Linked DNA regions of Drosophila melanogaster. The protein of the gene in region 2 binds, or shares a complex with, the protein of the main gene of each other region. Each region holds a gene or a part of one and is shown on either strand. Other genes may lie near its edges.

Region 1 (5,596 bases), about 11 Mb from region 2:
AGTCGATGTGCACGTGGCCGCCGTTGATGCCCTCAATGGTGATGAGGCCCTCATCTTCAGCCTTGTGCGCCAACATGGGTCCGTGGATGCAGTCGCCGATGGCGTAAATATTGGGCACCACAGTTTGGAAAGTGGCGTTGACGGGGATCCTGCCGCGGTCATCCTTAACAATGCCCACGGCCTCCAGACCCAAACCTTCGGTGTAGGGACGACGTCCAACACTGACCAGCAGGGCGTCGCACTGGATCTCCTCTTTCTCGCCAGACTTGGCGTTCTCCACGGACACGGTGACGTTGTCGCCGCTGCGAGAGGCAGCCGTCACCTTGGTGCCCAGCTTGAACTTAAGACCCTGCTTGGTGAGCACCTTTTGGAACGTCTTGGAGACTTCGTTATCGATGCCCACGCCGCCGATCGTATCCATGAACTCAATGGCAGTGACCTCAGCGCCCAGACGCGACCATACCGAACCCAGCTCCAGGCCAATGACACCGGCGCCGATGACAACCAGATGCTTGGGCACCTTGGCCAGCTTCAGGGCGCCAGTGCTGCTCACAATAACTTCCTCGTCGATCTGTGAAGGTTTTTGAATGGCATGCATTAGTAATCAAGCGCGCTGTAGAGGTTTTGCACTTACTTCAATGCCAGGGAAGGGGGTAACCTCCGAGCCGGTGGCGATGAGGATGTTCTTGGTCTTGACAGTCTCCGTGGAGCCGTCGGATTTCTTAACCTCCACCTCGTTGGGATTGACGATGGTGCCGAAGCCCGTCAGCTGTGTGACCTTGTTCTTCTTGAAAAGCATGGCAATGCCACCGGTCAAAGCCTTCACGGCGTTGGACTTTTGACCCATAAGCTTCTCCAGATCCAGGCTAACGCTGCCGCAGCTAATACCACGTTTCTCCAGATCACCGGAGTGGGCCATGTGGTAGTAGTGGGAGTTGTTCAGCAGCGCCTTTGAGGGAATGCAGCCAACATTCAGGCAGGTGCCGCCCAGAGTTGCCTCCTTCTCCACGCTGACCGTCTTCATGCCCATCTGGGCGGCCTTGATGGCGGCGACATAGCCACCGGGTCCGGAGCCAATCACCACGATGTCCGCCTCGTGGGTGCTGGAGTAGCAGCGGGCGTTGAGGGCACCCAGAATGGCGGCATTGGTGCGCAGAGGAGTCTGTAAAGACGGCAGATTACTACATGTTGTGGCACCTTATCATTTATCACGCCAGTCGCACGCATTTCGCACTAATCTTCGGCCGACTATCAGCTGATAATTGGCCTAATTAGCGACCTTGAAAACGGGGCCAAACAAATCCCCAAACGCCAGTGAATCACCCACCGGGATCATATGAGCACTGCAGGTGATCCAAGTGCATTTTCCAGCCTTTTCCTGCCCATTTCTCGACCCCCTCGGTGAGGTTAGATTGCATAACTTGAGGGGCGATGGCGTTTGGGGAATCGGTTATGTCGCCCGATCCTTACCTTGGCTACTGCCGAAACAACATGACGGAGCGTGAATTGCATGGCTGGTGCGGGCGAGTTATGAGGATAATCGTTATTTAACTACAAACACAACACTAGTTTGATGTGTGTTTTTCCGACTGTTTTTCGTGTTGTGGGGCTCGGAGCGGTCGCAGGGCTGGCGATGTGCATTCGATAGTGGTCATATGATGGCCGCGATGCTATCGATTGTTTTGGTGATTTTCCACTCTGTTGGAATTTGAAATTCTAAAACATTTTCGTATGAAAAAGATGTGTATAAAAATATTAGCTTGATGATCGTTCAAAATACGATATGTCCGTCACTCAATTGCTAGTTTATACAATATTCACTTTATGGGTCATTTGTTGTAGCAAAAGCTACCTAAAAACAAGCCAACTATACGTGTAAGCCGGCTTTTATAGTTTTGGCACCCATTAATTAATGTTTTTGTACGTATAAAATAAACTGTAATAAATAAACTGTAAAATAACTGTTTTAAAAATATATAACTCAACGTACATACGATACATATATAATAAGAGTTCCAAAGTAATATTAACTTTATTATATCTATAGGTAATTAAAAATGTATTATACGATGAATATTCGATAGTTTGCCCTACAGTACAACCCTGTGTGGTATTCCCCATCTGGGATATTTCCCACAACACTTTTGGTATTTTCACGTCGCGTTCATCTCGCGTTTTCGTTGAAGCCTCAGTATTTCGCTAGCTGTCGCAATGCGGTCACACTGGTTCGCGGACACAACAAGATGGCGAGACTTGCCCCCGAAATCTGTTAGAAAACGCCACAAGAGCAAATAATTAGTTCAGTTTTCGACCAGAAAAGAGTCAGCCGAAGTGCCGGGCAGACGCGGCGCATTTTGCAGAGTGTGAGCTTGGCCAGCGTTGCCCGAGAGCCGCGACAGGCGACACCTTCTGCTGGCCTTGCCTTGTTGCTGTGCCCCTGTGTGCGTGAGCGTGTGCGGTGCGGTGCGATTGTGTGCGTGGGTTGCCAAGAGTGAAGAGAATCGCTGAGTTTCCAAGATGATGAGCAACTACGGCAACATGATGGACTCACCGAAGTCATCGCCCCACGGCGGCGGCCGATCACCCGTGGTGGCCCGTCAAGACTCATCCGGCACCCTGAAAACGACCATTTCGCTGGGCAAGACGCCAACGATCATTCACACGGGGCCATTTTACTCCATGAAGGAACCACCCGCCAAGGCAGAACTTACCGGCGACAAGGATCTCATGACCGAGTACGGACTGCACCACACACTCACCAAGTTCAAGGAGAAGAAGTTCAAGGAGTCGCTGGCCTCGTTTCTGCAGAACATCCCCGGCATTAACGACCTCATCACGCATCCCGTGGAGAATAGCACGCTGCGGAGCGTGATCGAAAAGCCGCCCATTGGTGGAAAGGAGCTTCTTCCGCTGACTCCCGTGCAGCTGGCCGGATTCCGCTTGCATCCCGGACCGGTTGGTTTTTCCAATATGCTTTTAATTCGCTTGCTCAGTTTGAAAAATGACGAATCTTTAGATACGGCACATTGAACATCTTAGAATACATTTAGACGCTATTCAATGCTTTGCGTCTCTATACATTTGCATGCATTAATTTCGCTTTTTAAAATTTGCATATGAAATTTGGATTTAAGTGTCCTTGCACAGACTGATCTACTATAAAGTGTTATTTGGTCGCACCTTTTCTGTCACTTATTTCTATAATCACCGTAGTATTTTAGAGTTGTAATTCATTTTCCTTATGTTCAACAACAAATTTGAAACACAAATATTTTAGTCATTAATCACAAAAATTACTTAAATTAACAAGAGTGTAAATGTTGGTTTTCCCTTTAAACCTCTTTTGAACAGTGTATATTAAGTCAGTAGTTCGCAACGCAGTGATCTATATGAACAGCTGAGTCGATAAGGCCATGTCCGCCTGCCCGTTTTCTTTCAGTTTTAAATTTTTGTTGCAAGTAGTGCATAAATCAGAACGCGCCAGTTTAGGCCACTAATTCATATTGCTGCCATATGGTTTAATATTATGATATTCAAAAAAAAAAAAAAAACTAACCTTCCTTGTTGACGGATTGTCCTTCCTTTCTTGTTATTGAAATATTGGCATTTAATATTATTGAGAGTTTTCTTTCACCCTATATGCAATCTAATAATAATAATAATTCATCTTAAAAGGTTTCGTGAAATATTTTTTACATGTCATATATTTCAAACAATGGATAAATCGTTACTAGAACAAATTGCATAAAATATATTATTTTTTTCCTCTGCACTTTCACATTGCTAATTTATCCGATTCTGGTGCTCCTTTCAGCTGCCGGAACAGTATCGTACCACATATGTCACACCTGCGCGTAAACACAAAAACAAACACAAAAAGCAAAAACACAAAGACGGGGTGACCACGGGACAGGAATCCACGCTGCTCGGTAAGCAATCTGCTGAATTATCGAGCAACTCGATCACACATAATCCAATGATAACCATCTTGCAGACTCGGCCGGCCTGGAGACTTACGAGAAAAAGCACAAGAAGCAGAAACGCCATGAGGACGACAAGGAGCGCAAGAAGCGCAAAAAGGAGAAAAAGCGTAAAAAGAAAAACCAGAGCCCCGAACCGGGCGTGGGCTTGCTGCCCGGAGGAGCGAGCTTGGGCGGAGCAGCGGGTGTAATGGGAGCCACTAGTCTGGGATCGCTGGGAGGAGGACCTGGAGGACCCGGGCTGTCCAGCCTTAGTGCCAGTATGGGACCTGGCGTTGTGGGGAACATGAATAGCTTCTCCTCATCGATGCAGATGCAGCAGCAACAGCAGATGCCCATGCAGCAACAGCAGATGTCAAGTGGCGGTCTGCTGGGATCTGTGCTGGGCACTAGTGGCGGTCCAGGTGGCGGCGGCGGAGGAGGAGGTGGTGGCGGGGGCGGCGTCGGTGGGAGTCTGCTTATGTCGCAGTTTTAGGCAGGATCCTTTAGCAAAATAGACTTGGCTCATTACCTCTCATCAGCAGACGCACCCCAAATGGCAACATAAAAAAAACGCAGAGGGCCTCGGTCCTCTACATGCAATTTTCTCGATATCGTTTCGTGTCCTAGTTATTAATTTATGATTATTGTAAATGTAAAATAGTTTATTTCTGTAATTAGCCAACAATTTTTCGTTCGTTTTCGCGCTAGCTTAATGAGATTTATTTAAACGCAAGTTATGGTACAAAACGCAAGAACGTTTTCGCTCTCGATTCCAGCTCTTCCCTCCACACAAACACACCCCTCGCCACGCCGCCACAAAAACGCTGCTTTGCAACCTCTTTAATTTGCTTACCAACCTTGTAACGTGTGTAGGGTCAGTATTTCAATTAAATTTCTGCAATGGTTTGTTCTTCCAGCAAGTTTATAAACACAAAAGAAAGCTGAGATTCAACAAAATAAAAATGCCTGTACTATAAGTAATTAATTTTAGTGATTAGGCACATAAAACAATAAACAAGCATAAAAATGATCAAAGTGTGTGTTTACAATAGTTTGGGGAGCTTAGTTCATTTTTCGAATATAAGCATTTGTTGCACAGAAGTTCTGCTTCCAAGGAGCCCTTAAATTCAAATTTGGCGCCAAACACTTGTTAGCACTCTGTTGACTTTAACATGGCGCATTAACAGCTACGCTGAAATCTGACAGATAGTAACATAGCCTTAACAGGCGCCAACAGCTGCTTTAATTCTCAGGGAGTTTCTCGCAATCGAGAGTCAATTAATAAATTAAAAGTGATGTGTATAAGATAGTCGTCGCTGCAAAGCCATAGATGAGTTGTAACTTCGCCAGATTTTCGCGACAGGCAGCTATCAACATGTACAAGCAGTCGTGCACCAATCTCCTGGAATTATCCTCCGCCAAGGTGACCGAGTGGCTAGCAGGCTTCGACAGTGTAATAACCGACTGCGATGGTAAGTCGGTGGTGGGGATGAGATACTACTAACTCGCACCCACCCAGGATTCCCCCCAGGAAGTTGCGTTACATAAAGATATGTGTATACCACATTCTGCCCAAATACGTCAGCAGCCAATAGTTTCTGTATTGTGGCTGCGTCGTTTATTTCAATGTCAAA
Region 2 (4,022 bases):
TGGATGCAGAGAATCTACTCCATGGACGGCCAGCTTATCGAAATACCTCCTTCTTTATGATCCTTTGTCGCGTGTTTAATATTAGCAGGGTATCGCATTATTTTCAATTAAAAAACATTTTCTCTGGAGTTGCTTAAAATTTTTAATGATCCAGATGTTGCTCTCGAGTTTATGTGTAATTTTAATAAATATTAACTATTAAACTTTTACAACGAGCAGAGAACCCAGAGCCATGAAACTTTACGTTACGCTTGTGAAATTCAAACAAACCAGTTATTTTATTGAATATGGCTGCTGTCTGCAGTCGAATAAAACTTTCATCGCTCTAATTAAAAGTTCTAAGCTAGTCGATAAAGTGAAGCCAAAACCTAATTGCCATGAAGTCGAGCTCATCGTGTGTTTGTTTTGCTTTACTTACCCATTGCAGGCACCTCGAGGAATTGCTAGACGGGTCCATTAGCAGTCAATCAGCCGCAGAGAAGAGCCAGCAAAAGATACAGATACAGGCGGAGCAAAAGATACAGGATGCACGAGAGACAAGTGAAGAAGTGAGTAGCGCGGATGGGCCACTTAACGGCTAATACAGCGGCGATAACATTTGCGATCCAATTACAGGTTGAAGGGCAGCCATTATGTGGCCACGCACGGTCGCCTCACTCCGGATCCGCCCTACGTCCACTCGAACCGCGGCTATTCCACCGACGGCGATGAGACCCACTCCCACCGGGCGCCCTCGGAGCGCACCTATTCGGAGTACACGTTGACCCACGAGCGCATCTCGCCGCAGTACAATGGTTCGCGCAAGAAGCGCTCCTCATCCTCGAATGGAAACCATCAGCATCAGCACCTGCAGAGCAGCTACAGCCACAGTCAGATGGGCCTCTCCAGTTCGCCGGACAACGGAGGACCTCGCTCCCTCAGCGGACCGCCGCCCACGCGCCAGCCACCGCGTGCTCCGTCCGCCCTGAGCTATGACCAGGCTGGTGACGCCGGCAGCGACATCTATGTGACCAGTGCCGCCTACAAGGCGCCCTCCGAGATCAGGTGCGTTGTTACAACTATATAGCATATAACCCATATCTAAACTATCTATCATCCATTACAGTCGCTACAGTCAGCGTCCAGTGTCGCGAGGAGCTCCACGGAGTGTTTACTCCGTGGCCAGTACGGCCAAAACCGGACGCAGTGCGCGCTCGACGACTCGGCGAGGCGCCAAAGTGGAAACCATGTCCGCGCCGAATCCATTTTGCCCCAATGTCAAGGGCGTGTGCTGTCTGATGCTGTTGCTCAACTTGGGCCTGATCCTGGTGACGCTAGGATTCGTCATTGTGGTGCAGTTCTATGAGCCACTGTACGTGTGGATACTGGGAATTGTGTTCCTGGTCTTCGGCTTCCTCACGCTAATCGGCTGCATGATCTACTGTGTGTACGTGTTCCGGGATGCGAAGACGCCATCGCAGGTGCGCAACGAGGATCTCTACTGGACGCGGCACTGGCAGAAGAATATCGGATACACGCCGCAGGAGATCAACTACAAGGCGGACAAGTACGATGCCTACTCGGATCGCTATTCGGTTAGCAAGCTGAGTGGCAAATACTCGGATCGCGAGAGCCAGCGATACTGATTGTTATGCATATGTACATATGTATGTATGTACATACATATGCGGTTTGATGAAAGGGGATCCTTTGGGCGGAGAAGAAATATGAATAGCCACATATAAACCACTTATATCTTAACTAATTGTAAGACTATCTACTAGTTCTAAACGGTTATTAACAAGGCCCCTCCAACGTACCTGCTGCAAGTTGCTTGCTGGTTTGTATGTTTTAAGAGTGAAACTGACGGGAGACGCGAACGCGAGGATGCAACAGAGTATTGTAATCTGCCATATTTGAGAAGGTTTGTTAGGTTTGATTTGGCTAATCAACAGAAGAGTTTTATGCTAAAATTGTAACTGCAATTGTAACACACGAGAAATAAACAAGCAAATAATACCTACTAGAGATAACGCTGCGAATTTGTTTTATTTTTGAACAGTCTCTTCTACTCTTTGCTTTTGAGTACTTGATTCCCTTTTTTTTGAGTGTATGAAATAACCCATGTGGCAACTCCTATTAGTCTGGCAACCTCTCTGTTACGGTATTTTTACAACGTGGTATTAACAGCGCTCCGGAATACTATACGGTATATTTCAGCAATCGAAGAACGGCCACATTGCGGTGTGGAAAATAAACAAATTGCAATTATTGCTTAGCACAAACGATTTGCCGTGATAATGTCGTTTCATTTGAGCACAAAAGAGCGCCTTCTGCTCCTGATCGACGACATTGAGATGATTGCCAAGGAGTTGATCGAGCAGGCGCACCAGAAGATCTCCAGCACCGAATTGGTGGACCTGTTGGATTTGCTGGTGGCCAAAGATGAGGAATTTCGCAAAATGCTGGAACTGGCGGAGGAGCAGGCGAAAGTGGAGGAGGCGATGGACCAACTGCGCGCTAAGGTCGAGGTGCACGTAAGTAGAAGTTTTGCATTCCCCAAAAATAAGGTATAATCTGGATTTTCCCGCTTAGGACCGTGAGATCCAGAAGCTGCAAAAGTCGCTAAAGGATGCGGAGCTCATACTGTCCACGGCCATCTTCCAAGCGCGACAGAAACTGGCCAGCATCAATCAGGCCAACAAACGACCGGTTTCATCCGAGGAGCTCATCAAATACGCACATCGGATTAGCTCCGCCAATGCGGTCAGTGCTCCGCTCACCTGGTGCATAGGTGACCTGCGGCGTCCCTATCCCACGGACATTGAGATGCGCAACGGGCTGCTGGGTAAATCCGAGCAGAACATCAACGGCGGAACAGTGACCCACCAGAACAGCGGCATGCCCTCGGAGCAGCAGCGAACGCTGTCCGGTAGCGCAGGAAGTGGGAGTGGCAGTGGCGCCGGCGGCGAGGTGCCCAATGCCTTCCAGAACCAGTTTAACTGGAATCTCGGAGAGCTGCACATGACCATGGGCGCCTCTGGGAACACAGTGGCCCTGGAGACGCGCGCCCAGGACGATGTGGAGGTCATGTCCACGGATAGCTCAAGCTCCAGTTCCAGCGATTCGCAGTAGAATTGGATAAAAAACTATAACTAAATCTCGTTTAAGCTAGTAGTATTAGGTATTTAATAAAAGCGCGCTGTAAGGAAGTCTAGTTATGTATATATTTGAGTAGCTGGGATACATATCTAATTTTATGACCTTCTTTAATGATATTAATTTACAATTTAAATTGGCATTTAAAAAAATGCAAAGTTATGTATCAGTGGAAACAGCTTATAATAGCTTCGTGTCAAGAGCTTGGTACTTTTGCGCTAGTGCGATACGGTCCTCCTCAACCATATAAACAATCGATTGGCAGGGTCGCGTGCAATCGATACTTTGACAGCTCGCAATTATTTTAGCTTTGGTTTTTCAAATAAAATGGAATGCAACGCGTATGCAGCGTGTTTCAAGTAGCTAAAATGTGGCCAAGGTGTAGTCCAGTGTCGCCGCCAATCGCAGATCAGCCCCGTGTGCGTCTTTAACGAGAGATAAGCCCCGAAAACGATAGTAGAAAACCGACCCCCCGTTCGCAGTGTGTGTGTACAGAGGGCGAAGCGAAGCGAAGGCTCGACTCAAACCAATTGCAATATCAAATATAAAGAAAAAGTGGAAGTGGAAGGTGGAGTGGAGTGGAGGCCAGGGAGCGAGAGACACCGCCATCGCCACTTGCATCGCCGCATCCGCAATCGGGTTACATACGACACTCACATACCACACAGCCAGCCAGCACACAGGCCAAACTTTTACTTTTTCCCATTCGATATTGTTGGAAAAAATTTGGCCAAAAGAAAACAATTCGAATACAAATACAAACAGAAGAGTGTACGAGTGGGGGGCGACATGATAGTTTGTTTGAGTTCTACACACTGCATGTTTGAATTATTGTAAAGCCCTGAAGTACAGTGAACGTACATCTCATAGAGCGCCCCTAGAAA
Region 3 (4,029 bases), on a different chromosome or scaffold from region 2:
GGTTTGCAACTGTAATGGAAAGCAAAAATGTAATGAGTTTTGTAGGCAGTCAGGTACGCCAGGACGACCCCCGGACAGGTAGTGCCAGCTGACACCCATAAACGCTAAGCTCAGACAGTTCTTTAAAATATACCAATAAATCTGCAGCTGTTCCTATGTGGAAAAGCCAACCGTTGGCTTTACCCCTTATGCACCCCCGTAAATAAAGCCGTGGTCATAGTTACAACACTAAACATTTTAATATTACCTATGAATTTTCCCACTTAAGAACATTGATTCATTTCACATGTATATAGGAAGATGTTTAGGAGTAAAGATCACTTTAGTCAAGAGTCGCGACTATGAGATACCCAGCACTCAGCGAAGACATTTATTTGATACGTTTCTAATAATCCTATTTTAACTATTATGACAATTGTATGGAACTACAGTGTTATATGCCAATTTGGGCGTTGTAGATCGTGGTCAGATCGACCAGGCCATTGGTCCGGATCGAAGAAACATTTACATTATAGGGTCGGAATCACTTTTTATACCAGTTACACACTGTACACTTTTCACTCTATAATACTGTTTTAGGTAATGGTCTATTTATCTCGAATTTAGATGTACGAATTAGTGTGGCAAACCAATCGATCAATTAAAATTGCGACTGTGGCTTGCCTAAGCGGACACAAAAGAGACTTACATTCGTAATTACATTGAAATGATTCAGAAGCCTATCAAGAAACAATCTTTGGTTCTATTTGGACGGCAGCTGTGCTGTGCTGTATAGATACATATGCACATATGTACATATGTGTACATCTGTATGCATCTGTATATGTATATACATTTCGGAGTTGTATTCAAGCAGAGCACACTGTAATCTAATAATAGATTCTTCGCCAACATGAATTTTTTGTGGATGATGATTAACCCGTCGAAATCGGGGAAATAGTTGGATATACATATATAATGTTTCATATGCACTTAAATTACATAATTTTGTTAATACTTACATTTCTGAATTGTGCGTCGCTGCTTCGCTTGTTCCTCAGCACAAAAATAGGTGCGGGGGCGTTCTGTCCACAGATAGAAATTAGTTTCACTCGTTGATTTCTCGTTTATTTAGCCTAAACTACGACTTTTTCAGTGGCTTGGTTCCGATTAGATATGTTTTACAGACGAAATTCAAGTTTTTCCTCGCTGCTTTTCAGGCTGACAAAAAAATCAGGCATTGTTCTCCACAGCGTTCGTCGTAGGCTTGTGAAAATACCGAATTAAATGCGCATCACATTAGGGGTAGTGAAATAAATACTGAAGGCTACACACAATTGTTAATTACATATTATAATTAAAAATTGTCAATGTTCTGGTCGGAATTTTATATTTTAATATAAATTTTAATTGTTTTATTATGATTATTTGTAGATACCATTGATCGCTGTACTTCTTGATACATACGCTCAGATTTGTTTAAACTTACTCTGGTATTAAAGATTTTTGTTGGTTAAAACAACCCTAATTCTAATTTTTAACACAGAAACATTTTCAAGAATACCGTTAGCACACACCAAGTAAAATATACGGAAAAGCAGTATTTTACGAAAAAAAAATCGTATTCGGATGAGCTTGCAGCCCTGGCGGGGACAGAAGTAGGGTTGTCGCCGGCCATCAACAATCCAAATGAACTCCTACGGTTTGTAGACAATATTAAAAACTGAATTTAACTGCCTTCCCACAAGAAATCACCAACACAAAGGGAGCGACAACCCACCGCCTGCGCCCAGAAACCTGGTCGACTGTTTTCCCGAGTTTTCTTTTGGCCCACAACCTGCGTTTGCTCTGTGCAGTCACTGCCGCGCCATACATTTTATTTCATTAGCGAAGCCCATATATATTTATAATTTTACTTGTGTGTTTTGTTTGCCGCGACGTTTCGTTTTCAATTCGATGGTGCACCAAAACACACAGCTCAGAACATCCACATAGCACACTGAAAGAAACCAAGAACCCAACCCGACACCGAAACTGAATAGACGCAAGTACCGACCCAACGAGACCCTTTCCAAAGCCAAAGACCAGTCCAAAATGGCCAAAATGTACGGAAAGGGTAAGAGTAAGTACACGCCAATCCACACCCATTTTCGCATTGTAATCTAACACCTACTGACACCGCTTGGCATGCCGAATCCTCAGAGATCTACCAAAAGTGGTGCTAATTTCTCAGGGACTAATGCTCTCCAATTTCTTCCGTAGCTGCTATCGAGTCGGAGGAGCTGCAGAAGCGACGCTGGCAGATCGAGCTGGAGTTCGTGCAGTGCCTGTCGAACCCCAACTATCTAAACTGTAAGAATAATATTACCTCGACCTACCTAATATTCACTTATTCACCATCTTGCGCGTATATCTAAATAAACAATTACAACGCCTTGTGCCAGTCCTTGCACAGCGTGGATTTTTCAAGGACCAGTCGTTCATCAACTACCTGAAGTATCTGCAGTACTGGAAGGAGCCGGACTATGCGAAATACCTCATGTACCCAATGTGCCTCTACTTCCTCGATCTGCTGCAGTACGAACACTTCCGCCGGGAGATCGTCAACTCGCAGTGCTGCAAGTTCATAGACGACCAGGCCATTCTGCAGTGGCAGCACTACACTCGCAAGCGCATCAAACTGATCGAAAACGTTACGGCCGCCCAGCAGCAACAACAGCAGCTTCAGCAGCAACAACAGCAGGCGAACGGCATGGAGGCAGCAACGGGAGGCGAATCAGCAGCACCTACCCCCAACGTGAACGGGTCAGCTTCCACGGCGGATAGTCAACAGACGTCTTCTGCCCTACAGCCTGTCCAAGCACAGCCTGGAAATCCCCAGCAGCAGCAGCAAATCAATGGCGTGGCATCGGGGGCCAACATAAAACTAGAGTTAAACTAGCGCTGGCAACTAAAAGTTTACCAATAAAATAGTATAAGAACCTGGAACAAGTTATTTTGCATTCCATTTATTATCTTCCTTTTTGGCTGAGAAACAGCTACCACTTAACACACCTTATTTTCTTAGCTATTTTAGCCAAACTAAAATTCTAAAATAATTTTATTTCTTTTTTTATTTTAGAAAATCTTGAAAACCTCATCTCATTGCTTTAGTTAGGGTGTCGCCTCCTTTGTCGTTGGTTTTTGGTTGCAGACACAAAGCAAGTTTCATTAATCTATCTGTTGGTGAATTCACAGACCCACAGGACACAGCTTCTCAACAGGAGGAATCCGTCGCGCTGAAGGGCCACTTCTACGGCGTCTATTTGCTATGCAGTCAGAGCTTGGATCCTCGCTACCGGGGAAAATGCTACGTGGGCTTCACCGTGAACCCCAAACGGCGGATACGCCAACACAATCTTGGTTGTGATTTCGGTGGCGCGAGGAAAACCAGTCGCAAAGGGCCGTGGCTGATGGTAATGATCGTGCACGGATTCCCGAATAATACAGTGGCACTCCAGTTTGAATGGGCTTGGCAACAGCCGTCGCTTTCAACTAGGCTTAAAATGTACCCTGAATTAAAACGAAAACTGCCCAGGGAGACGTTCTTTGACTACAACTTTAGGATCCTTAGTAATATGCTGGGGGTTGGCCCTTGGAATAGATTACCGCTCACCGTTCGCTGGCTAGAAACGGATTACGAGAGGCCATTCAGCAAGGCACTGCCTAAACACATGGAAATTGTGAGTGGCAAGGTTTCCATTAGTGCCTCACAACGTAGGAGACCTGATGATGCAGTACCTCCTCCACCTGTGGCGTGGGCTTCCGAGTGCCACCTTTGTATGCAGGAAATGGAGCAACCGGAGAAATCCCGCCTGGGATGCACAAATCAAATGTGTCGGCTGACATGCCATATGGTGTGCCTGGCCAATTACCTTCTGGGCGACGAGCCAGGTCATTACATCCCAGTTGGAGGAGAGTGTCCGCTTTGTGAGACTCGTCTCAGCTGGGCAGCACTGCTGCAGCGCAAACGTCTTCTTTTGGGCGTGCCTGAAGAACTGCAGGATCATG
Region 4 (3,619 bases), on a different chromosome or scaffold from region 2:
CGATCCTCGTCTATATGATTGGTGCGTGGGCGTGTCAACGGCTTTTGAGTCCGCGGACGTCTCTCCGTTTGGACAGCGCGCATCGGAGGCAGACGAGTCGAGTTTAAAGGAGTCTGATTTGTGCGCAGAGGTTTAGTAACTGGGGATTAAAGCGCGTGTGACTCAACGGTTGGAGGATAAAAAGCATGGATAAATTCTTACATATGCTGAAGTCCCCGAGAACACTTTCATCTGGCTTGGGCTTCTTTTTTTTAGCGGTGGTTACCGCTGTTGCTTGAATATTCCTGGGCCTCAGAGGAGCCTGTTTACCGCCACTACCACTGGAGCGCTTTAGAGTGCGGATCACATCTGGTGTCTGCCAAGACTTGCCGTACAATTGATTGAGCAGCTTTTCTGCGTGGGTGAGAAACTGCTCATCCTCGGATGCATCATCCACAGACAGCATGGATTTTTGGTGGCTCTGAGGGTCCTGCTGCTGGTGCTCTTGGTGCTGCACCTCCTCCGAGCTGGGCAGGGACTTAGTGGCCCTGGGCGAAGAGTAATGCTCATCGTCGTCTTCCGCCGAACTTGACTCCATAGTGGGAATGCTGATTTTAATGTTGATCTTCGCTGAAATATTAATACTGCTGACCTGGATAGAACCGTGTTCGTCCCCTCCCGATGTGGAGGAACCAGAGCTGGCCTTTTGCGGCGTGAGCTCGCCCTCGCTGCTGGTTTCCGGTATTTCAATGGATTCATCAGGAACGGGCTCATTGTTGTGAATCGTCGAGTTATGGGTCTCAGAACTATCAGAACACAGGGTGTTGGGCTCGGTGTCATTGTCTGCTAAACGCTTGCTGCTGTATGTGGGCTCAAGCTCCTCCGATCCGAGAGTATTCGCCTCCGTTTCGTCGTCTGCCAACCGCTTGCTGCTATCCAATCGAGTGGCATCTGCTGAGCAGATGGTATTCACCTGCGTATCGTTGTTCGCCAGTTGTGTGCTGTTGTAAATCGGCCTGGTAGTGGGTGGCTGCCAGTCCTCGTCGGTGGGCGACATGGATTCGGTGTCCGCATCGGCTAGACGGGATTGCCGCTGGCTGGAAGAGAGGGGGGGCGGTGTCAATGGGCCATTCCACTCCATCTCGCGTCGCTCTATGGACACATCGCGCAGAAAAGCCTCGATGCGCTGCACTTTTTCGGTTGTGAGCATGGGCTGTGGTATGTCTTCCTGGCCGGGATTAGCCACAATTTCCCGTTCACTCACAGCCATGCTATCGGGAGGCAAGGGTTCTTGCTCATCCTCGCTAGAATCGGATATGGTGATACAGGAGGCGGCGTCGTCGTCGCCGGATACGTTCTCTTCCGTAGTGGAGGAAATGCAAATGGAGATCTCCGGCTTGGCCGAGTGCTCCTCATTTATGGGCTGCACTTTCAAATTGCTGATGCCAGCGGACAGGAGCTCTACATCGCCCACATTTGCCACATCCTGGCTGCAGCCGTCGGCGCTCAGCTGCAAGGCTTCCATGTAGTCGGAATTGTCGAGTTCTGTGTCCTCCGTATTTGCCCCGCAGGACGGAGCGGGTGCTCCCACATTGGCGCGCATGGGAGCTGCTGGCAGTTTCCTTGTTTTCTGGTCGTTCCTCTTTTCTGGATGATCCTTCGGCGCATGGGACACCTGGAGTCGTTTTTTGTGGGAGGATAGCGTCAAATTGGCGAACTTTTGATTGAAGGGAACTTTTACTTTGCTCGGGTCGACCGCATTGAAGAGCCTATACTTATGATCCGCCATTTTGGGGGCGTCGTTGGGGCATTTACGGTAAATCAATCTCTATGAATATGCTTTAAGCAAAATTCGTATTTGCTATTATTCTGTGCGCGTCGATTTACGTTCATCGTTATCGATAGACTATTTGATTTTCCGGCATCTAGCTAGTGCTGTTCGAAAATGTCTAAAACGGCATCACTAGTAAAACGAATTCTTCCAAGGAAATGAAACTAAAAACAAAACCAAACTACTGCTCAGTTAATTTAATACCATAGTACACCCAAACTTACAAAATTAGCCAATGGCGATTGTGTCGTCGGCCCGTGAGTCGCTCTCCCATGCGATGAACAACCGCTTCTTGCCCAACCTGGAGTACTTGCTGCAGGGATCTATCCTGGATTCCGCCGTGGAACACTTGATGCACAGGTGGGAGACCCAGTGTCAGATTTGAATCGTTTGCACCCGACTAACAGTCTAACCGCCTACCCACTATCAGACTAAAGGGACTCTGCGACAATGTGGACACCTCGCCGGAGCCGTTTCACGATCTGGAAGTGTGTATGAGCCTTCGCCAGCCCAATGCCAACCAGCCGCTGCTTCTTCGCGTGCGCCGAGCCCTTGGTCGCGATGCACCCTTTCAGATGCGCTACCTAGGAAACCCCGAGGTGGATCTGCGCCGGCCTACATTGGTACGCAGCTGCATGGACTGCGCCTGCACCAATGGCATTTTGGAATTCCTCACGGAAATGGGCTTCCGCCTGGAGTTCGAGTACATAGCAAAGGGTTGGAATCATGAAATATATTACGCTTGGGTTGCCAAAATGGATAGTGACAAATGGACTTATTTCAGGCTATATGTTCCGCAAGGGGCGCATGAAGATTACCGTCTCCAAGCTCATTAAGATTGTGCCCGGCAAGCAGCAGGACATGGCCAACGAGCCAATCTCACAAAGCTACATAGTGGAACTCTCTGTGGTGGCGCCAACGGGGCAGGAGAATGTCGGCGAGGAAATGCGCGTGTTTGCCGAGCAACTAAAGCCACTCGTGCAGCTCGAGAAGATCGACTACAAGCGACTGGGCGGCATGCCGTAGTTTACAATAAAAGTGCACATCGCATTTATCCAACAGTTATTTAATTTCTTAAATGTAAGAAAATATACAAATTTACAGAAAAGAACCGAGAGGGAATGATTACACTGCCAGAGTAAAAAATATCTCAAATTCAACCTTACACACCCACATGACACGACAACAACGGACTTTCCCAAAGCAGTGATAAAGAAGCTGCGGGGCGGTTAATCCTTAAAGGCCTCATTAAGAGCCGCCAGATTGCGATCGCTCACATAACTCTGGAGATCGCTGCGGCCCATCAGCGAAATGACCATCTTCAGCGTACTCCAAATAGACTCGGACATCTGGTTCTGTCCTCTAAAGGTAGCCGCCATCGCCGCATTGGGCAGCTCTCGGGCGGCGTTAGTGTGAGCCTGCATGGTAAGCGCTGTGAGTAAGTGCTCCACAGCTTCCTTGTAGGCCTTAAGGTTCATGCAACATACGCCCACGTTGTAACGCACACGGATGAAGCCCGGTTGGAGCTGCAGCGCCTGCTGATAAGCCTCCACCGCCTCCACGGAGCGCGAGCCGTTGGCCAAACTGGCCCCCAATCGGTTCCATGTCTTCGCATTTTGGGGATCCACCTGCAGAGCGGACTGGTAGCAGTCCACCGCCTTGTCGAACTCCCCAGATAGATTGTAGAGCACGCCGAGGGCATCCTGGACTTCGGCATCCACCTCCGAAGGGTGCTGTCGAACGGCTTCCAAGTAGATCTGCTGCAGATCGCGCAGCTTACTCGGACCAATCAGCGACGAAGCCAACGAA

Evidence for each region.
Region 1: MED4 (region 2) and MED19 share a complex: the UniProt entries of both Drosophila melanogaster proteins name them as parts of the mediator complex.
Region 3: MED4 (region 2) and MED31 share a complex: the UniProt entries of both Drosophila melanogaster proteins name them as parts of the mediator complex.
Region 4: MED4 (region 2) and MED18 share a complex: the UniProt entries of both Drosophila melanogaster proteins name them as parts of the mediator complex.

Annotation. Positions count from the first base shown.
Region 1 is NT_037436.4:17,843,113-17,848,708, reverse strand, and holds MED19 (mediator complex subunit 19), read left to right. Parts: upstream 1-2,207; 5' UTR 2,208-2,517; coding exon 2,518-2,955; intron 2,956-3,814; coding exon 3,815-3,929; intron 3,930-3,994; coding exon 3,995-4,455; 3' UTR 4,456-4,984; downstream 4,985-5,596. Other genes in the region: CG7430 (uncharacterized protein), read right to left, coding at 1-571, 635-1,162, 1,471-1,512; CG5567 (uncharacterized protein), read left to right, coding at 5,293-5,434. UniProt on the Drosophila melanogaster protein: Component of the Mediator complex, a coactivator involved in the regulated transcription of nearly all RNA polymerase II-dependent genes.
Region 2 is NT_037436.4:7,248,702-7,252,723, reverse strand, and holds MED4 (mediator complex subunit 4), read left to right. Parts: upstream 1-2,196; 5' UTR 2,197-2,279; coding exon 2,280-2,516; intron 2,517-2,574; coding exon 2,575-3,114; 3' UTR 3,115-3,195; downstream 3,196-4,022. Other genes in the region: CG14830 (uncharacterized protein), read left to right, coding at 526-548, 616-1,044, 1,106-1,625. UniProt on the Drosophila melanogaster protein: Component of the Mediator complex, a coactivator involved in the regulated transcription of nearly all RNA polymerase II-dependent genes.
Region 3 is NT_033777.3:4,640,328-4,644,356, forward strand, and holds MED31 (mediator complex subunit 31), read left to right. Parts: upstream 1-1,635; 5' UTR 1,636-1,668; coding exon of another isoform or gene 1,669-1,681; exon of another isoform or gene 1,682-1,956; 5' UTR 1,957-2,073; coding exon 2,074-2,101; intron 2,102-2,241; coding exon 2,242-2,331; intron 2,332-2,423; coding exon 2,424-2,920; 3' UTR 2,921-2,965; downstream 2,966-4,029. Other genes in the region: nuclease slx1, read left to right, coding at 1,669-1,681, 3,217-4,029. UniProt on the Drosophila melanogaster protein: Component of the Mediator complex, a coactivator involved in the regulated transcription of nearly all RNA polymerase II-dependent genes.
Region 4 is NC_004354.4:1,863,969-1,867,587, forward strand, and holds MED18 (mediator complex subunit 18), read left to right. Parts: upstream 1-1,940; 5' UTR 1,941-2,045; coding exon 2,046-2,170; intron 2,171-2,217; coding exon of another isoform or gene 2,218-2,240; coding exon 2,241-2,527; intron 2,528-2,594; coding exon 2,595-2,836; 3' UTR 2,837-2,919; downstream 2,920-3,619. Other genes in the region: Gcna (germ cell nuclear acidic peptidase), read right to left, coding at 1-139, 202-1,768; Pex5 (peroxin 5), read right to left, coding at 3,040-3,619. UniProt on the Drosophila melanogaster protein: Component of the Mediator complex, a coactivator involved in the regulated transcription of nearly all RNA polymerase II-dependent genes.